4 linked regions of the Schizosaccharomyces pombe genome follow. The gene in region 1 interacts genetically with each later gene. Each region holds a gene or a part of one and is shown on either strand. Other genes may lie near its edges. The genes, in order: rng2, nod1, arf6 and rga7.

What was found.
Region 2: of rng2 (region 1) and nod1, changing one enhances a phenotype caused by changing the other (phenotypic enhancement), as found in Schizosaccharomyces pombe (one study listed by BioGRID).
Region 3: of rng2 (region 1) and arf6, changing one enhances a phenotype caused by changing the other (phenotypic enhancement), as found in Schizosaccharomyces pombe (one study listed by BioGRID).
Region 4: mutations in rng2 (region 1) and rga7 are lethal when combined (synthetic lethality), as found in Schizosaccharomyces pombe (one study listed by BioGRID).

The regions. Positions count from the first base shown.
Region 1 is NC_003424.3:2,643,324-2,651,005, forward strand, and holds rng2 (IQ motif containing GTPase activating protein), read left to right. Parts: upstream 1-2,104; 5' UTR 2,105-2,193; coding exon 2,194-6,663; 3' UTR 6,664-7,104; downstream 7,105-7,682. Other genes in the region: hcs1 (3-hydroxy-3-methylglutaryl-CoA synthase), read left to right, coding at 301-360, 537-1,820; U5 snRNP complex subunit Spp42, read left to right, coding at 7,415-7,682. UniProt on the Schizosaccharomyces pombe protein: Component of the contractile F-actin ring; required for its construction following assembly of F-actin at the division site.
Region 2 is NC_003424.3:4,587,883-4,592,152, forward strand, and holds nod1 (protein Nod1), read left to right. Parts: upstream 1-2,283; 5' UTR 2,284-2,382; coding exon 2,383-3,642; downstream 3,643-4,270. Other genes in the region: til1 (tRNA(Ile)-lysidine synthetase family protein), read right to left, coding at 1-55, 101-176; pet801 (putative S-adenosylmethionine transporter), read left to right, coding at 605-628, 685-841, 987-1,441, 1,528-1,692; glucan glucosidase exg2, read left to right, coding at 3,973-4,270.
Region 3 is NC_003423.3:4,373,804-4,378,172, forward strand, and holds arf6 (ADP-ribosylation factor-like protein Arf6), read left to right. Parts: upstream 1-1,925; 5' UTR 1,926-2,053; coding exon 2,054-2,159; exon of another isoform or gene 2,160-2,258; coding exon 2,259-2,289; exon of another isoform or gene 2,290-2,491; coding exon 2,492-2,564; exon of another isoform or gene 2,565-2,619; coding exon 2,620-2,818; exon of another isoform or gene 2,819-2,861; coding exon 2,862-3,007; 3' UTR 3,008-3,374; downstream 3,375-4,369. Other genes in the region: fmd1 (glutathione-dependent formaldehyde dehydrogenase), read right to left, coding at 1-931, 1,039-1,082, 1,240-1,272; trp1 (anthranilate synthase component II), read right to left, coding at 3,418-4,369. UniProt on the Schizosaccharomyces pombe protein: GTP-binding protein that functions as a molecular switch for the activation of 'new end take off' (NETO), a process in which the directions of cell growth change from a monopolar manner to a bipolar manner in fission yeast.
Region 4 is NC_003423.3:2,109,575-2,115,149, reverse strand, and holds rga7 (Rho-type GTPase-activating protein Rga7), read left to right. Parts: upstream 1-2,074; 5' UTR 2,075-2,255; coding exon 2,256-4,343; 3' UTR 4,344-4,665; downstream 4,666-5,575. Other genes in the region: mat1-Mc (M-specific transcription factor Mc), read right to left, coding at 123-668; mat1-Mi (M-specific transcription factor Mi), read left to right, coding at 803-931; cms1 (U3-containing 90S preribosome complex subunit), read left to right, coding at 4,793-5,135, 5,192-5,506, 5,566-5,575.

The sequences.
Region 1 (7,682 bases):
AACGTATGATACAAAGCTATTCCCAGCTAATAAATAAATTTTTCTATGAATAATAATTTATTTATTAATCGTAGATTCAGAATTTAATTGAAATATTATAATAGCTCAAATAGAAAAATTCCTAAACACACGTACAATAAGATACGTTGCAACGCGTTAACACACTGTCGCTCTAACTAAAGCTATCTGTTTCATTTAACCATAACCAAGATACTTCGATAATTTTCCGCTTAGTCGCCTCACAAATAGGTTAGTGCAATCTTTTTTCAAAACCCTCACACTTTGTAGAAACTCAAGAAAATGTCCTTTGATAGAAAAGATATTGGTATTAAGGGCCTCGTGTTGTACACTCCCAATCAGGTATGTTATAAATGAGTCGCTACTTTATTTCAAAACTTCTCCTCCAAATTATTTGCATGCATTACCTACATCTTTTTTCAATAGTACAAATTTACGCAAGCTTCAGAGGAAAGTAATAGAAATACTTTCTCATTAAATTCCTTCAGAACCTGATATTAATCGTTTTTACCCTATAGTATGTTGAACAAGCTGCCCTCGAAGCGCATGATGGAGTCTCTACTGGAAAGTATACTATTGGCCTCGGCTTGACTAAGATGGCTTTTGTCGACGATCGTGAAGACATTTATTCCTTTGGTCTTACCGCTCTTTCTCAACTTATCAAGAGATACCAAATTGATATAAGCAAGATTGGTCGTTTGGAAGTTGGAACTGAGACTATCATCGATAAATCTAAGTCTGTCAAAAGTGTTTTAATGCAACTTTTTGGGGATAACCACAATGTCGAAGGTATTGATTGTGTTAATGCCTGTTATGGTGGCGTGAACGCTCTTTTTAACACAATCGATTGGATTGAGTCTTCTGCTTGGGATGGCCGTGATGGTATAGTTGTCGCTGGTGATATTGCTCTCTATGCCAAGGGCAATGCTCGTCCTACCGGTGGTGCTGGTTGTGTCGCCCTTTTGGTTGGTCCTAATGCCCCTATTGTTTTTGAACCTGGTCTACGTGGTACTTACATGCAACATGCTTACGATTTTTACAAACCCGATTTGACGAGTGAATACCCTTACGTTGATGGCCATTTTTCTCTTGAATGTTATGTTAAAGCTCTTGATGGAGCATATGCTAATTACAATGTTCGTGATGTTGCTAAGAATGGAAAAAGTCAAGGACTTGGATTGGATCGTTTTGATTATTGCATTTTCCACGCTCCTACTTGCAAACAAGTCCAAAAAGCATATGCGCGTTTATTGTACACCGATAGCGCTGCTGAACCATCTAATCCCGAGTTGGAAGGTGTCCGTGAACTTCTTAGCACCCTGGATGCTAAGAAATCCCTTACCGACAAGGCTTTAGAAAAAGGTCTTATGGCCATAACTAAAGAGCGTTTTAACAAACGAGTTTCCCCTAGTGTCTATGCCCCTACCAACTGTGGTAATATGTACACTGCCAGTATTTTCTCTTGTTTAACTGCATTACTTAGCCGTGTCCCCGCTGATGAACTTAAAGGAAAACGCGTCGGTGCTTACTCTTATGGTTCTGGTTTGGCTGCCTCGTTTTTTTCATTCGTTGTCAAAGGCGACGTCTCTGAAATTGCCAAGAAAACTAACTTGGTTAACGATTTGGATAATCGTCATTGTTTAACCCCTACGCAGTATGAAGAGGCTATTGAGCTACGCCATCAAGCACACTTGAAAAAGAATTTTACTCCCAAAGGAAGCATCGAACGTCTTCGTTCAGGTACTTACTACCTTACTGGTATTGATGACATGTTCCGCCGTAGCTATTCGGTGAAGCCTTAAATCACCGAAAAAAAGATTAGAATGCAAACTAGATACTGTTAAAATCTCTTTTAGTAGACTTTTTTTTGATACATGAATATGTGATTTTGACAACTTTTTTGTTAATTATTTAAAACTCATACGTATTGTAGTCTTAAAATGAATAACCTTCATTTGTAATAGCATAACCTAAATAATTAGAGTAAATTCGTCACTAACGGACAGTATCTTGAATTAAACTACTTACACCTAAAAACCCCCCACTCATCTTGATAACCCACATTTTCTTTGTCTGAGTAACAGCTACTCTCCACTAACATAGCCGAAAAATTGTGTGCAGTTACTTTATCTAGTTTGAGATCGAATGCTGAGTAGGTAGTCATCAGAAGTCTCAATGGACGTAAATGTGGGATTATCTAGACTTCAATCTCAAGCTGGGGCACCTGTTGGCACGAAAGGGTCGAACACTCGTTTAGCAGCCAAACAAAGAGAAACCCTTCAAGCATATGATTATTTGTGTAGGGTTGATGAAGCAAAAAAATGGATAGAAGAATGCCTCGGCACAGATCTAGGACCAACGTCTACATTTGAGCAGTCGCTGCGAAACGGAGTTGTCTTGGCTCTCTTGGTTCAGAAATTTCAACCCGATAAACTAATCAAGATATTCTATTCTAATGAACTCCAGTTTCGCCATTCAGATAACATTAATAAGTTTCTTGACTTTATCCATGGCATTGGGCTTCCCGAAATTTTTCATTTCGAACTGACTGACATTTACGAAGGGAAAAATTTACCCAAAGTTATCTATTGTATTCATGCCCTTTCTTATTTCCTTTCTATGCAGGACTTGGCACCCCCTTTAATCAAGAGTGATGAAAATCTATCTTTTACTGATGAAGACGTTTCAATAATAGTCCGTAGACTCCGACAATCTAATGTAATCCTTCCTAACTTCAAAGCTTTAAGTGCCGATTTTATGCTTCGTGCTAGTCCTGTTTCTTCTCGCACTCCTTCCCCTACACGATTTCCCAAGCATGCTCGTTTCCAAACCCTAAATTCATCAGATTCTGCATCTATATATTCGTCTCCTTATACTTCTCCTACTTTAGAATTTTCGAAGAAAGATGCTAGCGCTCGTTCAGACATCCTTAAGATGCACAGAAGGACGAAATCAGCGACACCTTCGTTAGAACAATTTAATGAACCATATAAACAAACTTTGCCTAGTCATTCAATCGAATTCGAAGACTCTTTTTTTCAACCCCCTTCTCAAAAGGGACATATGCAACGATCTTTCCTCACAACATTTTCAGCACCCACAAGAAGACGGGAGGCACTATTTTCTACCACTTCTGGACTTAGTCAGCGTAGCCCTGTCGATGAGAAAATCGTGAACGCGATTCAAGCTTGTGGTCGTGGCGTACTTGTGCGCTTGCGTTTGGTGGATATGTTACAATCCCTCGTGGAACAAAGTTCTTCTGTCGTACTTCTGCAAGCCGTAATTCGTGGATATATATCTAGAAATACATACAGAATACGAAAGAAAGCATACGATGAACTTGTAAACTGGGTTACTTCTATTCAATCCATCTCTCGTGCATATCTGATACGTGCACAATACCGTAAAGTGGTTTTACAGGAGGAGGCAACGAAGTCAATCCAAACGTTACAAAGCATTATTCGTGGGGGTTTCTATCGTCGTAAATACCACTCGTTAATAGAGAGGCTAGACTTATTTACACCATCATTTGTGTTAATTCAATCCTCAGCTTTAGGATTTCTTACCCGTCATGCAATAGTTAATATGCTTGACAACCTTTACAACTATATCCCTCTCTTTAACCGGATGCAAAGTATACTGCGTGCAAATATGTTTCGGAATGAATGGTCTAACTTTCTAGATTCCGTACAATCGTTTCCCGTTTCTTTTCACTCTATTTGCAAAGGACGCTTGATAAGGGATTCTATAAACAGATTAAATGGATCACTTCTGGGAGAACTGGATAATTTTATTAAACTACAAAATTTATCTCGAGGATTTATGATTCGTCGGGCATTTAAAGAGAAATTGGAGAAATTAAAAGCATCAACATCCTCTTTCATTGCTCTACAGGCAATTGTTCGGGCTTTTCTTTTAAGAAAAAACTTGGAAAGCATTTATGATTCTTTTCAAAAATCGCACCTATCTGTCATTAAAGCCCAATCTCTTTATCGGGGATTCATTACTCGAACCAAAATTGATTATTGTAACGACTATTTGTTAAAGCGATTACCAGATATCGTGTTTATGCAATCTGCAGTCCGTGCAATTCTTTTACGAGATGATGTGAATTATACTGAAGTTCAGTTAGATTCTTTTATTCCTGAAATTGTATTGTTACAATCTTTAATTCGTGGGTATCTATCTCGAAACAAATTTTCAAGAAAACTTCAAAATTTTCATAAGAATATGGAGAATCCCATAGTTGCGAAGTCCATTTTTAGGGGTCGTCAAGAAGGGTTGGCTTATAGAGAACTTGCTACGGCCAAAAATCCACCTGTTATGACGGTCAAAAATTTTGTTCATTTATTAGACGACACCAATTTCGACTTTGAGGAAGAAGTATTGCTTGAAAAAATGAGAAAAGAAATTGTGCAACAAGTACGAGACAATGAAGAAATTGAAGTTCACATCAATGAACTAGACGTGAAGATTGCTTTGTTGGTTAAAAACAAAATCAGTTTGGATGATGTTTTAAAACATCACAACAAGTATAAATTTGGAAAGCAAAGCACTGAATATTTAAAAATTAATACTCTGTCTATGAAGTCACTCAACAATTCAAGCAGAAAATTTTTGGAACTTTATCAGTGTTTTTTCTATGTGTTACAAACCAACGAAATGTACTTAGCAAATTATTTTCAAGCGCTAAAAACTGAGGGCACTTCCTCTGTAAAGATCCGTCATGCTGTTTATTTAGTTTTGCAAATTTTCGGCCATGGCTCTAACCGACGAGAAGAAGTACTACTTTTGAGATTCATTTCCCAAGTCATTAAGCTAGAAGCAGCTTTAGTTAATTCATCTCAGGATCTACTTTCTGATGACTGTGTCTGGAAATTACTGTTCACTGGATATCGTGGGGACGTTCGTGAAGTGAAGCTTTGGAAAACTATTCTCGGCCGCATTCACAAGGTTTTAGTAGCCGACAATCATTTGGATTTTGAAATCAATCCGTTGACTCTATTTAAAAGTTTCAATCCTGAAGTTGCCAGTCAAACTGATAGTCCAAAACTCACTTTGTCGTTAGCAATGCAACACCCACCGACAAGAAATCTATACGTTAGCAGACTTCGTGAACTTCGAAAACTGTGTCAATCATTCCTAGTAGCACTTTCTAAGAATATTGAAAATATTCCTTATGCTTTATGCTATACTGCAGCACAATTGAAAAATAGCTTACAACGATATTTCCCCGCTGCGCATAAAGAAGAAATTTTTGGCGTAATAGGGAAATTTGTTTATTGGGCTTATGTCGCTCCTGTACTTGTGTCACCCGATAACTTCAAGTTGGTTGATGGCTCTATTACAGCTCTTCAACGAAAAAACCTTTACACATTGTCAAGCATTTTGTCTGAGATCTTTTCAATCGAGTCCTGTGACTCTAAGCAACTTGGTTTTTTTAGACCACTCTCCGAGTTTATTGAGGTGTCCAAGCAGGATACCATGTTGATGCTAGAAAGGCTTGTCGATGTGGTTGATCCAGAGGTGTACTTTGAGTTCGATGCTTTTGAAGACCTTGTTAATACCAAGCGGCCAGTAATATACATGAAGCGAGACGATATTTTAGGCATTTATTCATCTATTGCATATGTCATAGATAGTATTGCTCCTCCTGATGTGAACGATCCATTACGCGCTGTTGTCAATAGCTTAGGTCCTGTTTCAGAGCAAGACAATGACTTTGTGCAAGATGAAACTGACGTCAAACTAGAATTGAATCCCAAATTTTGCACTATAGAAAATCCCGTTGCTCAGGAACGGACTCTTATTGTTCAGACAAAGAGATATATATTATTTATTATTCGAATTCAAAATGGCCTTAATCTTTTGGAAATACTTGTCAAACCGGTTACAGATTCAGACGAAGCAGCATGGCAAAATTTATTGGCAGAAGAATCTGAAAAGAATGCAAGGAATTATGATTTGTTTGATGATTCTATCTTTTCAATGTCATTTGCAGAACTGAAATACACTGCACTAAGCAATATAGTGGAAATGGAAAAGCTTGGATTTGCAAACCGACGGAATAATTACCAAGATATGGTAAATTCTATCGCTCTAGATATCCGTAATAAGTCGAGAAGAAGGATGCAACGACAGCGTGAACTTGATGCGGGACATCAAAGTTTGCTTAACTTACGAGAAAAAAGAGCTTTCCTTGATTCGCAGCTAAAAAGTTATAACGAATACATTGAACAAGCTATGGAAACATTACAATCAAAGAAGGGTAAGAAGAAGCTTATTCCTTTTTCTAAACAGTATTTTCACATGCGAGATCTCCGAAAATCTGGACGCGTTCCTCGCTTTGGGTCGTTCAAGTACCCAGCTCTTAAACTCTATGACCGAGGAGTTTTGGTATCAATATCTCATATGCCGCAGAAAGAAAAATTGTATATTACTATATCAGCCGATGAAGTTGGCAAATTTATTCTGGAAGCAACAAGCCCGACAGTTAAAGTTTCGAGCCCAAGGTGTGAATTGCATTTGGACGACTTGTTGTCTGCTCAATATAACAAGGTTTTAACTTTGGATGTTTTGGATGGCCGTCTCAAATTAAACACCAATATGTTCTTACATTTGATTTTCTCCAAATTTTATTCATGAGACGTTTCACTTTGTTCATTTTTCCGTCTCTTTAACTACCCAATGATTTAATTCGAATTAACTTAAAACCGTCAAATATCTTTGCACATTAATACTTGTCCATATTCTTTTGGCGAAATATGTATACTATGTGATATTTTCTCCCCTTTAATTCTGATAATTTGCACAGTTTTCCCATTTCATTCACTTAGTGTGGGGGGTTTTTTTATCACTACTTGTGTTTACTTATACTGTACAAATCTTATTTAACTCGGTGTTATTTTTCAAATTTTTTTTTTCAACTAAAGCCGTTGAACCTGAAACACTAAATCAAGGAATAGGAATTTTTGGTTTATGCATACTAGTTGTACTTGGTAATTTATACTTTCTGAATTAGTTAAAGGTTTATAATTACAAATAACACTTTTTTATAACAAAATGTAATTTATGTCAATACATACATCTTTACTAATTCTTATAAGGCGATTCGATTGAGCATGATTATGTTCAAATTAACCTTTGGATATGGGTAGGTGTTTGGTTGACAAACTTCTTAAGCGTGTTGCATTTTAACGAAGAAAATTTGAATTTTCAAATCCCGTATAGCGTGTAAAAAAATATACATTAAACACGTATTATGAGCAGAAGACTACATAGACCTAATATGAAATAAAACGCACAAAAGAATATTACGCACAAATAATGGCGAGGGTCACCACCATACAAAGTAATATTCACTACCACAATTCAGCTGACAAATACCATTACCTAAATGGCGTCGTTACCACCGGGGAATCCTCCTCCACCGCCTCCTCCGCCTGGATTTGAGCCTCCTTCACAGCCTCCACCTCCTCCACCTCCAGGTTATGTGAAGAAAAGAAAAAACAAGACTCCAGCACAGTCTGGAAATCTTGAAAAGCAACTTAACGAAAGAGCACGCAAATGGCGCGCTTCTCAAAAATCAAAGTTTGGTGTCAAAAGGAAGCAGGGTTATGTTCAAACAGAGAAAGCTGATCTTCCGCCTGAGCACCTGCGCAAAA
Region 2 (4,270 bases), 1.9 Mb from region 1:
TCCTTCATGAACCAAGAAAGTAGCATGCTGTCCACTCCCCCAGACACAGCTATCCCTAACTTATTAGTCTTAATTATGATACAATACAAAGTGTTCATACCAAGCCGCCTGTGACCAACCCTTCGTCGTATACTAACAAGACTGTTATAGAATTCTTTCAATTTGATAGTATCCATTGATTTTGAGTTTTTCTAATCATATAAACATTCATGCAACACAGAAAAGTCATTACATAAGGAAAGAATCCACTAAACCTTTGGTGACTTTTAAACAACAATAGCTATTATTGTAATTGTACTATCAAAATATTGAATTCATGCAACATATAAAAGAGTATTTATCGCTATAAATTCAAATCAAACATCAGATGATTTTTAACTATGTTTTTAGTAATTCGTTTTCCTTTTTATACTTGATGGTGAATGTGCAATGTAGAATCAAAGAAATTATGTATTGGAATATATGCTTGTACTGGGATGTATTTAGCAAATTAATTATATACAACAAAGTATGTCAATTTGGTAGAATTCATATTTTTCATGGTAAGAACCGACACCAACTTCTTAGAACGTGTCATTTCACTCCCTCAAAGCGCCATTCAGCAATGTCATTTTTTGAAGCTCTGGGTGTAAGAAACAAAACAAACATAAATAACTATAATGAGGACTAATCAAAAATTTCTAGGCAGGAATCTGTGCTGGATTGGCAGTTGATCTATCCTTGTTTCCTATTGATACACTTAAAACTAGACTACAAGCAAAAGGAGGATTTGTAAAAAATGGAGGGTTTCATGGTGTATATCGGGGATTAGGCAGTATACTAGTTGGCAGTGCCCCAGGAGGTATGAAAAAAAAGAAAGAAAGTAATCTAAATGTATGGTTTCTTTCTCTGGTCTTAACAAACGATAGACACTTATTAAATTACCTCTTATAATATATTACAAAGTTCACAAAGTGTATAATAAACTAACTCACTAACGCTACTAGCCTCTTTATTTTTTACTACTTATGAAAACATGAAATCCAGATTATCCCAGTCTGGCCTTGGACTATCAGATCCCCAAATTCATATGTGTTCAGCTTCTCTAGGTGAAATTGCGGCTTGTATAGTTCGAGTCCCTACAGAAGTAATTAAGCAAAGAGCACAAGCTTCTGGTGGAACATTATCATCTAGAAATATTTTGCAAACGATTTTAAAATCTAACAATGTCTGGCGCGATTTTTATGCTGGTTATGGAATCACTATTGCAAGGGAAATCCCTTTCACACTAATCCAATTCCCAATTTGGGAGCACCTGAAACTGAAATGGAGAATTAAACATTCTCGAAATAAGAATTTAGCTCATGAAGCAGCTATCTCGGGCTCCATTGCAGGTGGAATAGCCGCTGCTTTAACAACTCCATTTGATGTTGTTAAAACGAGAATTATGACATCTCAGCAGGTATGTGTTTGATTTTTTGATTAAACTAAAGAATTTTGCGCGTGAATCACTACCTTGATATACACTTTTGATACTAATTTGTTTAGCGACTTTCTTATGTGTTTACAATTAAATCGATAGTTGCCCATGAAGGCTTTCTTGCTCTTTACAAAGGTATAGTTCCTCGAGTCTTATGGTTAAGTGGAGGAGGTGCTATTTTCTTAGGCTGCTACGATGTCATATTGAATTTTATGAAAGCCGAAGGATTGTGATTGAAAAAACTAGTCATAATTTAGTTTTTAGTACTTTTTGGTTGCATACAAAAATAAAAGATAGAAAATACATTCCTTTGGCTAAGCCGCGTTTTATAGAAAGAATATCTTTAATTTCAACATTTTTTGGAAGGATTCCTTACTATAAAATATCAGTTGCAAAAAAAATTAAATCATTTTCTACTGAATTATCCACTTGATCAAATATTATAACGGTGTACTATAATGGAAGAAAAAATTGTGTTTAGCATTAATGAAGTGCTATTGTAGAATTGCTGAGCTATAAAAATGAACACATCTTGACATTACTGTATGCTCGATGTATTTGGAATCAATAAATGATGAAACAATGAAGTTTCAAACTAACTAGAGTTGTGTTTATACATAGTGCTCCATATAAGATCAAACATATCCACGAACGCTCAATAAATGTTTTATTGGTGTCTAACAAATTCTTCATGATTTGGAAACTTTATTTAGTTAAAATACTTAGCAATTTATGGTGAGACATCCATCCAATCTCAAATTTTTTCTCTATTCGTAAATACTTCTGTTTAAGCAACTAGACGAATTTTGGTTTCAAACTTCTACAACGCAATTCTAAAGTGAAGATTTCCTTGAAACGCTTATCTACTATTTGTTGATTGGGTGTTCCATACCGATTGAAATTTACTTTTCTGATATATTTAAATGGAAAAACCATTGCCTAATCCGCCTATTCAAGAAAGTTTACGAAAGCAATCCCCCCAAGACGCTGTTTACGATGATTTGGTTTTTGGTTTAAAACGTTATGAAGCGGCTTTCTCAATTAAAGACAGTATTGAAGATGTTCTAGCAAATTTTTCTAAAGACGAGGAAAAGGAAATGGTTTGTCTCAGTACGTCGATTGCAGAAAATCCTTATCAATCGCTTTCATTAGAATCTGTTCCATCCAAAATACTATTTGGATCATTTTTATTTTATGTAAAGGATCGAATCCCGGAGAAAGCTGGTTATATAATTGAAGAGCAGTTCTGTAAACGACTTCAACAAATCGATTACGATGCTTATTCTTTCTCACCAAAAGAGTGTAATGAAAAATTAAAAAATATTTTCTCTGAATTCTCTCAAATGAAGCTAAAAATGTTGTCTGTTTTTTTCTCGATTGTACAAATTTTGCTTCCTAAACTCAGTGGAGATTATCAGGAACATGTCCAATTTTTTGCTTCTATATCGGCTGTCGTAGCACCGAGGGGTTATGTTTTTGAAATCTATCATGCAGTTGAACATTTATCTCTTGAAGCTAGGGAAGTTTTTCAGCTGCACCATCCTCCTTCCCCAAAACAAACAAGGCGGGTCGTTTCTGAAGGACCTCTTAATGGCGTAAACTACAAGCAAAACACTACTAACAACAGAGTCTCTTCTTTTCAAAATTCTCAATACTCTACGCTAAATAATTTCCAAAATAACTCTAATCAATCACCTAACTCCAATGATTTGCAACCACTTCAAGCTGAAGCCTTTCACTCCGCACATAATGGGTATTCTTCCTCTACACTCAACCTTAATTCTGAACTAAATGTAATGAAAGATCACGATCTACAAGCTCCGATTCCGCGTGCTTTAAAGCAGCATAAACTTCCTCCCATACCCGTACCTGAAGTTCAAACAACTAATATTGGTTATCAAACTGATTTACCATTGCAAAATCCCAATGATAACTTGGTATCTTTGGCGATTTATGAGGCACTTTACGAGAAATTTCTTAAAGCCTGTAAAGATCTGGAAGAAGTTTCCAAGTCATATGAGGAAAGCCGTGAGGAGATTGAAGCTTTGCATGAAACATTTACGGAGGAAGTGACTTCTTTTCAAAGTACTAAGAGATTGAAAGAGGAAAAAATTATTCAAGAAAAAAGTCGGGTTGATAAAATGATCGACGAATATCGTCAAAAACTTTCAGAAAGCACTTAACACTTTTACGTTTAATTATTGGAAATTTACTTATATTTTTAGATTGTTATTAACTTTTTATTATGTTTATGACTTGTTAACTGCTAACTTATATGCATGTTCCACCGCTAACGTCACAATGATGGATCGGTATTATTGTAATAGTTTTGCAATTTAAATACTGTTTGATGACTACATGTTCATATTTTTTGTTTGAAGCACGTTCTTCCTTTCTTTCCTCCCTTTGAAGAGTTGTATCATTATCTTTGTTTCTTTTCTTGTCAAGGGCCCGGTAGTTCCTTCTTTTAATAATTGGATCAAAATATCTTTCTTTCTTTTTATTGATAAAATATGAGCAATCTTTTAGAAGCTGAGTCATCTTGTGACTCTAAATCACTCGGTGTTGATGACTTTACATCTAAAAGGTGTAGAGAAATTGACAAGAAGGCTCTTCTTATTACTATCCTCCTTACATTTTTTGTTTCCCTATGTGTTTTCCTGTCAATTATTCTTCCTCTTATATTTTTAGTTATTATTCCTCACGCTCAGTCAGATCGAAAAATTAAAGACACAAATATGGAAACCACTAATTTAGGCGTAAATATAATTGATGAGATATTTAATTCCACTCAAGTACCTGAATGGGCTA
Region 3 (4,369 bases), on another chromosome or scaffold:
GTACTCATCAACAAAGTTCGGCAATTCAGAACGCCCTTTAACTCCTCCAAAAGCTGAACCCAACACTTGACGACCAGTTACTACAAGGAATGGACGAAAATCAAGGGTTTTACCAGCTGCGGCGACGCCTATAACACACAGTTTACCCCAACCTTTGTGGCAGAATTGAAGTTCCTGCTGCATGACAGTGACATTTCCAGTGCAATCAAATGCATAGTCAACACCACCATCAGTCACATCAATAACATACTGTACGAGGTCTTTAACTTTAGAAGAATCGATAAAGTCAGTAGCACCAAATTTCTTGGCATATACTTCCTTATCTGCATTGATATCAATAGCAATGATTCTCGAAGCACCAGCTGCAACCGCACCCTGCATTGCAGCGAGACCTACGCATCCACATCCAACAACAGCTACCGTTGAACCAGACTCAACCTTAGCAGAGTGTGTCACAGCACCAAATCCAGTTGTGACACCGCAGCCCAACAAGCAAATACTGCGAAGAGGTGCGGAGTGTGAAATAGCCACAAGCGAGATATCAGCTACAACTGTGTATTGACTAAAGCTAGAACATCCCATGTAATGAAGCAACGTTTTATCGCGACAGGAAAAGCGACTAGTACCGTCAGGCATTAAACCTCGACCTTGTGTTTCACGAATTTTGGAGCACAAATTAGTTTTACCACTACGACAGAATTTACACTCTTTACATTCCGGAGTATATAGCAAAATAACATGGTCTCCAGGACGCACGTTGATAACCCCTTCGCCAATGCTTTCCACAATACCAGCACCCTCATGACCAAGAACAATAGGGAATGCGCCTTCTGGATCTACACCAGACAGCGTGTAAGCATCTGTGTGACAAACAGCACTCCAATCGACTTTCACACGAACCTCATGAGCTTTTGGAGGGGCAACCTGAATACTGTAGTATCACCTCCCATTCTGCCCGTTGATGAGCAGAAGAGAAGTCAAAAGTTAGTAATAAAATTCAAGTATAAATTCTTTTCCTTTTGTCATCATTATACTTACTCCTCTATAGATAAAGGTTCCTTTGCACCCCAAGCTACGGCTGCCTAAAACGAATGTTATTAGTACACAGAAAGAAAAAATAAAAGATAATTATCCATATACTCATGGATGAACAATAATATCAAAAGTAAACCTTTGGTGGACTTACAGCACCAATATCATTTACACTTTAGACAATGATTTACGTTTTCTTTTTCATACCTTGCAAGTGATCGTTTTACCTTCGAAAGACATGTTTCATTAAAGACTATCTCAGAATGTGTATTTGGTAGAAAGACTGTTACAGTTTTAACATTTAGGTCTACTTACTTATTACATATGCTTACTACTAGATAGGTCGCGACTCGGATGAAAATTGTCGATCATCGTCGATCTTGTATCTCAATAGTCACTTGCTAGATAGAGAGATATACATACAAAAATAAAGAATCAATATTAAAAAGTACAATTTAAAATACAGTGCTAGCATAGAAACATATGTTACGAAAACATTAGTTTGTTTATAATTCAATACTTGAAGCCTTCTTCTACTAAATGTTATTTTATATGATTGTTTTTTATTTTTATTTTTTTTTGAAAAATACTTTAAATAATGAGGCTTCAAATCATTAACATACACTGTTAAAGTTGAGTAATATAAATCTGCGTTATTAGGCAAGGGAATGAGAATGTTTCTATTCAATAAACTTGATGGAAATTCCAAAAGTTAATCGATAAAAATAATATTCTTAATATTTAATTTATTATTCGTACATGGGATTTACGATATAGTACAAGACCATGGGCTTCCATATAATTCAGTTACGCAGCTCGTTAATTTACATTATGTATCAGCTCGGCTTAATTAAATATTTCAGACAGAGAGAGTTGATATCAGCTGCACCTACGTTTAGTGCTAGCCGTCTTTTAAAGTACGAAGAAAGCCCTGTATCTGGGTTCAATATAAATTCTACTTCTTTGGTTTTTTTGGTCTATTCTTTCTTTTGGTTATCTTCTTCTGGGATTATTTGATACCATGGGCAATTCACTATTTAAGGGGTTTTCAAAGCCATTTAGTCGGTTGTTTTCTAACAAGGAAATGCGTATCTTAATGCTAGGTCTGGATGCAGCTGGAAAAACGAGTATGTTTTTTATTCGGATGGATTTTTACAGTCTTCATTCCGTATAATCGTGCTTAACTTGGTGTTTTAATAATGGTAACTCTTTTATTAACATTTTAGCTATCTTATACAAATTAAAACTCAATCAAAGGTAAAGAGCACTAAACAGCATTCTTCGATTGTGTCAAGGTATCGTATGCGCTGCTTCTGTATTAGCATAGTAGATATAGATTTCATTACGAAGACTGTTGGTTAATTAATCAGTGAAGTCTACTGTCGCGCATTATCTTGAGTTGCAATTATGCTTCCGTAAATGAAATTGATTTTTCTTGTGTTCATTAACTAACAGCCAGTGTTGTCACCATTCCCACTGTGGGTTTTAACGTCGAAACAGTCACTTACAAAAACATCAAGTTTAACGTTTGGGTATATTTATAATCAATCTTGGGTCGAGCATGTTCTAACGTTGATTTGTTTGTAGGATGTTGGAGGTCAAGATAAAATACGACCTTTATGGCGGCATTATTTTACTGGAACCAAAGGATTAATTTTTGTTGTTGACTCTGCCGACAGCAATCGTATATCAGAAGCTCGTCAAGAATTGCATCGCATTATTTCAGATCGTGAAATGCGGGACTGTCTTCTTTTGGTGTTGGCTAATAAACAGGATTTGCCTGGAGGTAAGGTTGCGAATCCGAATAACTTATGCTAACACTATGGTAGCTCTTTCACCTGCTCAAATTACCGATGTTTTGCAGCTAGACAAATTGAAGGATCGTTTATGGAACGTTCAGCCAACATGTGCTCTTACAGGAGACGGGCTGTTGGAGGGTCTGGCTTGGCTAAGTCAAAACGCAAAGTTAAAATAATTTGCTTCTTTGATTTGTTAATACATGGTGTTTATTTCGTTCGTTATCCCAAGAATTGCAAATAATTACATCGATCAGCTTCCGTTCTATCCCTTTATCGTTGCTTAATTAAATCTGTACAGTCTTTACTATTCATTTTCTTTCTTTAGCATATAACTTTACTATTGCCAATCGTTTCCCTATTCCTACTATCACTTTATAATGTGCTTCATTCGGCCAAATACATTTGGATAACAGCCATTTTTGTCAATAAAATATTTCTTAATTTAATACAGAAAAGTGATCAATAACCAGATAATATAATTATCGCACACTTCTTATCCAACAAAATCTAAAACCAGTTATTTTAAGCGAAGTCTCATGATATGTATCCAAAAACATCTAGACAAACTTGATTTAATGTAGACAAGTTAAAGTTCTTTTACGGCGTTTATAAATGCCTTGATCTTTTCAAGATCTTGTTTCCCGTCAGTCTCCACCCCACTCGATACATCGACTACAGCTGGGCGGCTAACAGATATAGCATCTTGTACATTTTTAGGTGTTAGACCACCAGCTAAGACATAAGATACTGGAATGAAAGATGCAGCTTCCCAGTCTACTTTCTTGCCTAAACCTCCTGACTCTCCACCGACATATGCATCAATCAAAGGTACAATATGATAGTTGGGCCTTGAAATTTCAGAAGAATTTAGCGGAAACACCTTAATAACAGGTCTATCGAGCATATGTATCCATTCGAAAGGTTCTTGTCCATGAAGCTGGACAATATCCAAGTTCACTTCTGCTATTATAGAACGAATGTATTCTAATGGTTGATTTTGGAACACACCGACTAACAAAGGGTGCGGAGAGGAAGCAAGATTTTCATACTGATGATCAAACCAACTTTGACCAGTCACTGCTTTCTTTGGGGAAATGTGTTTTCTATTGGTTGTATGAACAAAATGTGAAATTTCCTTGGCCACGGACAAGTCCACTTTTCGTTTGCTCTTTTCCACAAAAATTAACCCTATCAAATCGCCTCCTGATTCTACAATGGTTTTAGCAGCTAACAATGAACGAGTACCACATACCTTCACTAGGGGTGTTGATGTTTTTTTACCATTAGATATCTCGCTAGAAGAAAGATTAAGTAACTCTCGTGCAAAAGCGGCAGGATCCGAAGCTCTCATAAGAGATTCACCAACAAGAACTGCTGATACACCTTGACTACTATAATGGGCAACATCAGCAGGACTACTAATTCCACTGAGAGCTGCAAGAATAACATCATCTGGGACCATTTCGGCTAATTTTGATGTAGTGGAAAGGTCTACTTCAAAACTATGCAAATTCCTGTTATTAACGCCGATAACTTTA
Region 4 (5,575 bases), on another chromosome or scaffold:
ATAACTCAACGCAAATGGGGTACACAAAATATTACATTATAATCTTCAGTGAATGTAACTCTAAGAAGCATATTTAAATCAATTTCAAAATTCTTTATTAAATACCATAAATATTACCATTATTATCTTTTAACTTTATTCTTTCTAGGCTGGTACTTATAACCAGGGTACATTTTCTGATGTTGTGCTTTATAAAACTCAGACATCTTAAAATATCGCATACGTACTTCCTTTGATTCGTTTCTCCACATCTCTCCAACCAGCTTGGAAACTTGTGAATTATTGATGGAAGGGTTAGACTTTAATAATGTAGCATGTTTTTCCTTCCTGTATAATATAAAAGCATTAGGGGGTCTCGGAGTACGTTCAGTAGACGTAGTGTCTTTCCGTAAACTCTTCAAAATATAGCCGGGAACTTTACATTGATCCAATGTGAAGGATATTGGTTGAGGTCTTGGCAGTTGTGCAGAATTCCCATCCAACAGGTAGCTTTGTGAGTTAGGAATGAGTATAGGAGTAAAGCCATCAGGAACAAAGTAAGCAGCACCTTTGCCAGTTTCAATTGAATGAAGAGCATCCTTTGTAAGGTATCTTTTAAAACACCAGTCTGGATCTAAAAAGTCGTAGGAAATAGGGGAACCCGCTGATAATTCTTGGTGTGAGTCCATTGTAGTTGTGAGTGCAAGGTAGGTGTAGAGTGTGGAGGGTATTTAACTACTTACAGAACAAAGAAACCCAAAAACAAAGGAACAAAATACACTAAAACACAATAATTTAATCTAAAGCACAATACATACTAATAATGTCAGCAGAAGACCTTTTTACAATTCAAATCCTATGTGATCAAATTGAGTTAAAACTTGCATCCATTGTAATAAATTCTAACATCAAATTACAACTTAAACGTAAAAAAAAGACACAACAATTATAAACTACATATAAGCAGGGTTCAGTAAATTGGGAAGGCGTTTCTGGCTATTAGGTTGTATGGCTATTAAATTAAAGGTTGTATGCTATACAAATGCATATGCATATGCATACAGAAAAATACTACCTCTTCCAATATTTTTCCTTCAACTACTCTCTCTTCTTTTCCTACCCTTCTTCTCACTCTCTTTTCCTTTCACGGCTAACCCACTATTTTCTCTCCTTTCTCTTTCTTTGTTCCTACCCAAACAAAGAAATAGTTACCATAGCTACTACAACAAAGCAAGCACTCATCCCACTTAATGTGGGGTCCCCTAAAGAATTCCCGTCTAATGAGAATTAGGAACGTTTCATTGTCAAGTTCGTTATTAAGTTATTTAAGAAAATATAATACTGATTAAAAATATATCGGTATAACAAATACAAAAATTAAACAGTCGCAATAAAACATGTTGACAAACCTGTAGTCATAGAATAAACATAATGTTATTATATTAACAGTAGGCTCTAAGGATTTATTATTGTTTTTACATATTCGTTCATGACAAAAAAAGTATTACAAACAACTTGCAATAGAATAATCCTACTTATTTGTTCTTTTCATTCACCTAATCCTCTCCCCCATTTGGAAAGGGTATGGCATTTTACTCGAATAACGCAACCAACTTTCTGTCTCCTTATTTTGCTATCCCCCACTTAGAAAGGGTATGACACTTTTCCTTAAATAACACAATCAACTCTTTCTCCTTATACCCTTCTTCCCCTTACCGCCTTCCTACTCACCTCAGTCTTTACCCCCACGTATCTCTACCTCCCACTTGGAAAGGGTATGACACTTACCTCGAATACCACAGTCAACTCTTCCTTCCTTTTCAACCCTCCCTCACTATACTTCATCCCACTTAAAAAGGGTATGGCAGAAACGTTATACAACGCAATTTGTATTTTATTCTTTTCCTTTACCTTCCTATCTTAAACTCATTTTCATCCCCCACACTCAACCTCCCAATTCCAAACTTTTAGCTTCGTTACATCTCCGTAATTTGAACTACTCATACCTCCTTAATCCTCTTTATCTCTTCCTCTACCGTCCTCTCCTTACCCTTTCCTCGTTTACATCCTCTATACTCGCTATACTACTCAAACCAACCACCCACTACCAATTCCTTACAAACAAAGAATTCACCCTTCTTTCCTCTATCATTCTTTGCTTGCTCAAGTGATTTTATATATTTTCGCGTTTACCGCGCTTCTTTTGTTATTTTTACTCTTTCTATTCTCTCACTCTATTTACTTCTCTTGCTCCCGCCCATCACTCAACTCCTTCAATGCTGTCGGCTCCCTCCTCCTCTACCACTCCCGCTTCCCCACCAACATCGCCTCCAAATACCACTTCCTCTGATGATTTCGCAGTTCTCAAAGAACCAAAAGTCGAAGCGATCCTCAATTCGGAACTTGGTCTAGCAATCCTAAATGATCGCATTAAAGACTACCTCCTCACTTGCAAAGAACTCGCCGGATTCTTTAAAAAGCGTTCCATTCTCGAAGAAGAAAGTGGAAAAAATTTACAAAAACTTGCTAAATCCTACCTAGAGACGTTTCAATCCAAACACCACTCTCCCCAATCTTTTTCCGCCTCTGTCATTACGAGTATGGAAATTCATGAACAACTTGCCAATCACAGTTTAACCCTTCAAAAAACTCTTTCTGCATTTTCCGATCAAGTCATCGAATTTCACAAAAACGCAGAACGCAAACGAAAATCCATCAAGGAATATGCGAAAAAACAAGAAAACGCATATTTAGAAGCCGTTATGCAAATGGATAAATCCAAATCTCGCTTTAAGGGTGCCGAAACCGAGTACAACCGCGCTCTCGACAACAAAAACACTGGAGACTCCCAGAAGAAGGTTGGTTTTTTTAAACCAAAATCTAATGCTCAGCTCACCAAACTCGAAGATGAAGCTCGCCTTAAGGCCGAAAATGCAGAATCAGATATGCACAGTAAGATTGAAAACGCTCAAAACGTTCAAAAACAACTTTTGTGTATTCACCGACCAAACTACATAAAGCAATTCTTTTCCCTTCAACGCGAAATTGAAAGCTCACTCATTGCAAACTATCTACGGTACACAAAGCTCTGCGAGTCAAACACCCTGCTCAACGGTCTCACAATCCGTCCACAAAAGCCCACTCCTACCAACTGTGGTTTACAACATGCTTTGGATAATATAAATGCAAATACCGATTTTGTTCAATACGTCCTTCACGCCTCCATCAAGCATGAAGATAACAAAAATCCAACCGACGCTTCTAAAACAAAAATCATTCAACCTCCAAGCTCTTACGGAACTGGTTCCTCTGCCGGAAAAACCAATCCACCCGTCAACCCCACCATCAAGGTTACTGCTGCTATTCCCTCTCCCCTACAAAACACTAATCCTGCTCCATCCACTTTTCCCAACCCTTCTGTGGCTTCCCCTGCCTTCCCAAACTCATCTACTTCCAATCCCTCTACTGCTCCCGCTTCAGCCTCTCCTTTGGCTTCTACCCTAAAACCTAGTACCGCCAATGACACAAACGGTTCTTCTTCATCCTCTTCTTCCAATCCTCGTACCTCTTCTCCACTCGCTTCTAATGCAGAAAACAAGCCCCCTGTTGCCCAACAATCACCTCCCGTACTACTTCCTACTTTACCTCCCATCCAGACGACAACGATTCAAACGTCTCGAGAAGTCGCACCACCGCCTTCTAGCATCAACTCAAACCGTGCTGCATCTCCCTTCCGACCAACTTCTGTCTCCCCTCAACCTTCCTCTCCTACGAAATCGTTACTCTTTGGTGCTCGATTAGACGCAATCATTCTACGAGAACATTCCAACATTCCAAACATCGTAATGCAATGCACTTCCCAAGTCGAAAATTTTGGTCTCAACCTCCAGGGCATCTACCGTGTTCCCAGCTCTTCCGCCCGTGTCAACATGTTACGTTCTCAATTTGAGAATAATCCTCTCTTACAATTACATACACCTGAGGACTATGAAAACGACGTTCATGCAGTCGCTGATCTACTAAAAATCTTTTTCCGTGAACTACGTGAACCGTTAATTCCCGACAATCATCAAAGAGACTTTATCGACGCAGGTAACGTTGAAGACGAATCCAGAAGAAGAGATGCCGTCCATCGTGCGATCAACGATCTTCCCGATGCCAACTACTCTACCATTCGTCATTTAACCATACATCTTGCTAAAATTAAAGAAAACAGCGATGTAAACAAAATGTCGACAAACAATTTGGCCATTATTTGGGGACCTACTATCATTAAGCAAGCTACTATCCCAGAAATTAGCAGTTTCTCTAGAACTATCGAAATTCTTATCGACTATTGTTTCACAATTTTTGACTACGATTAAAAGATCATTTTCTGTATTATTTACTGCTTACCATCTTTTTTTTCTCTTTTTATATTTTTTTCCTTTGCGTCAATAAAGCACACTTGACACTATTCTCTCTTTCTTGGATTTTGTATGCTTCCACCTCTTTCCCCTTTTTATCCCTTTCCTTACCTTGTTTTTATCCTAAACTTTTGTTTGTCTACAAATTCATTCTTTTCTTTACTGTCAATTCCGTTCACAATTTTAATCCATAGTTTAGACAACCTTCATAACGTAATAATGGAAATTATCTACGATTTTATAAACCAAATGAATTCCTTTTATTTTTTTTTCTTCTATATAGACCTTCAAATACTCTATATTTTTGTAAACGATAGATTTATATTTTTTTTTACATTTTTCCTGTACTATTCGACGGTCCACGAACTGAACGTATCCCTAACACCAAAATTTTAAAACATGCAATTATGAGCTACACGACAACAGACGCTGATGCTTTGGATGATCAACTTGATTATCAGGTAGATTTAGTTTCAGAAATTTCAGTTTCGGATGAAGAATCTGCACAACCTACTACAATAACTGAAAATTTTACTGCTTCTCAAAACAACGATTCAGCGAAACGTGAAAAAAGAAAAAAACAACGCCAAAAACAAAAGGAAAGGAAAAGAGCTAAATTGTTAGAACTACAAGACACAAACGCTTCAATCATCCAGAGTCCAGACACGCTGTCCGATTTGTTAAATAATTACATAAAAAGCATTTATAGTGATCTTACCGATGTAGAATTGTCAGATAAAGTGATTAAAGGTATAATTGCTTATTATTCTTTTTTTTTTTACTTCACTTTACTAACTCACTATAAGCATCTTACATTGAAGATACGATCAGCTTCAGCAAACCTAAAACAGTAGACAATTATCCAGAATACATTCAACATCTTCCCGGTTTTACTAAAAAAGTTGTTCAAAACAGTAATCCTGAGATTCTTGTCCTATGCATATCTGCATTACGTGCCATCGACGTTTTGAAACCAACGAAATCATTACAAAACAAAAATTTCAAAGTTGCAAAGCTTTTCGGAAAACATATTCGATTAGAGGAACACATAAATTATTGTAAAGCAAACAAAATAGGTGTTGGTATAGGAACTACTCCTAGAATTGCCCAATTGACTAACGGTACGTATTGCCTTAAATCTTTTGGTTTATGATTTTCCTTAAAATACTAACATTTTTAGAATGTTTTAC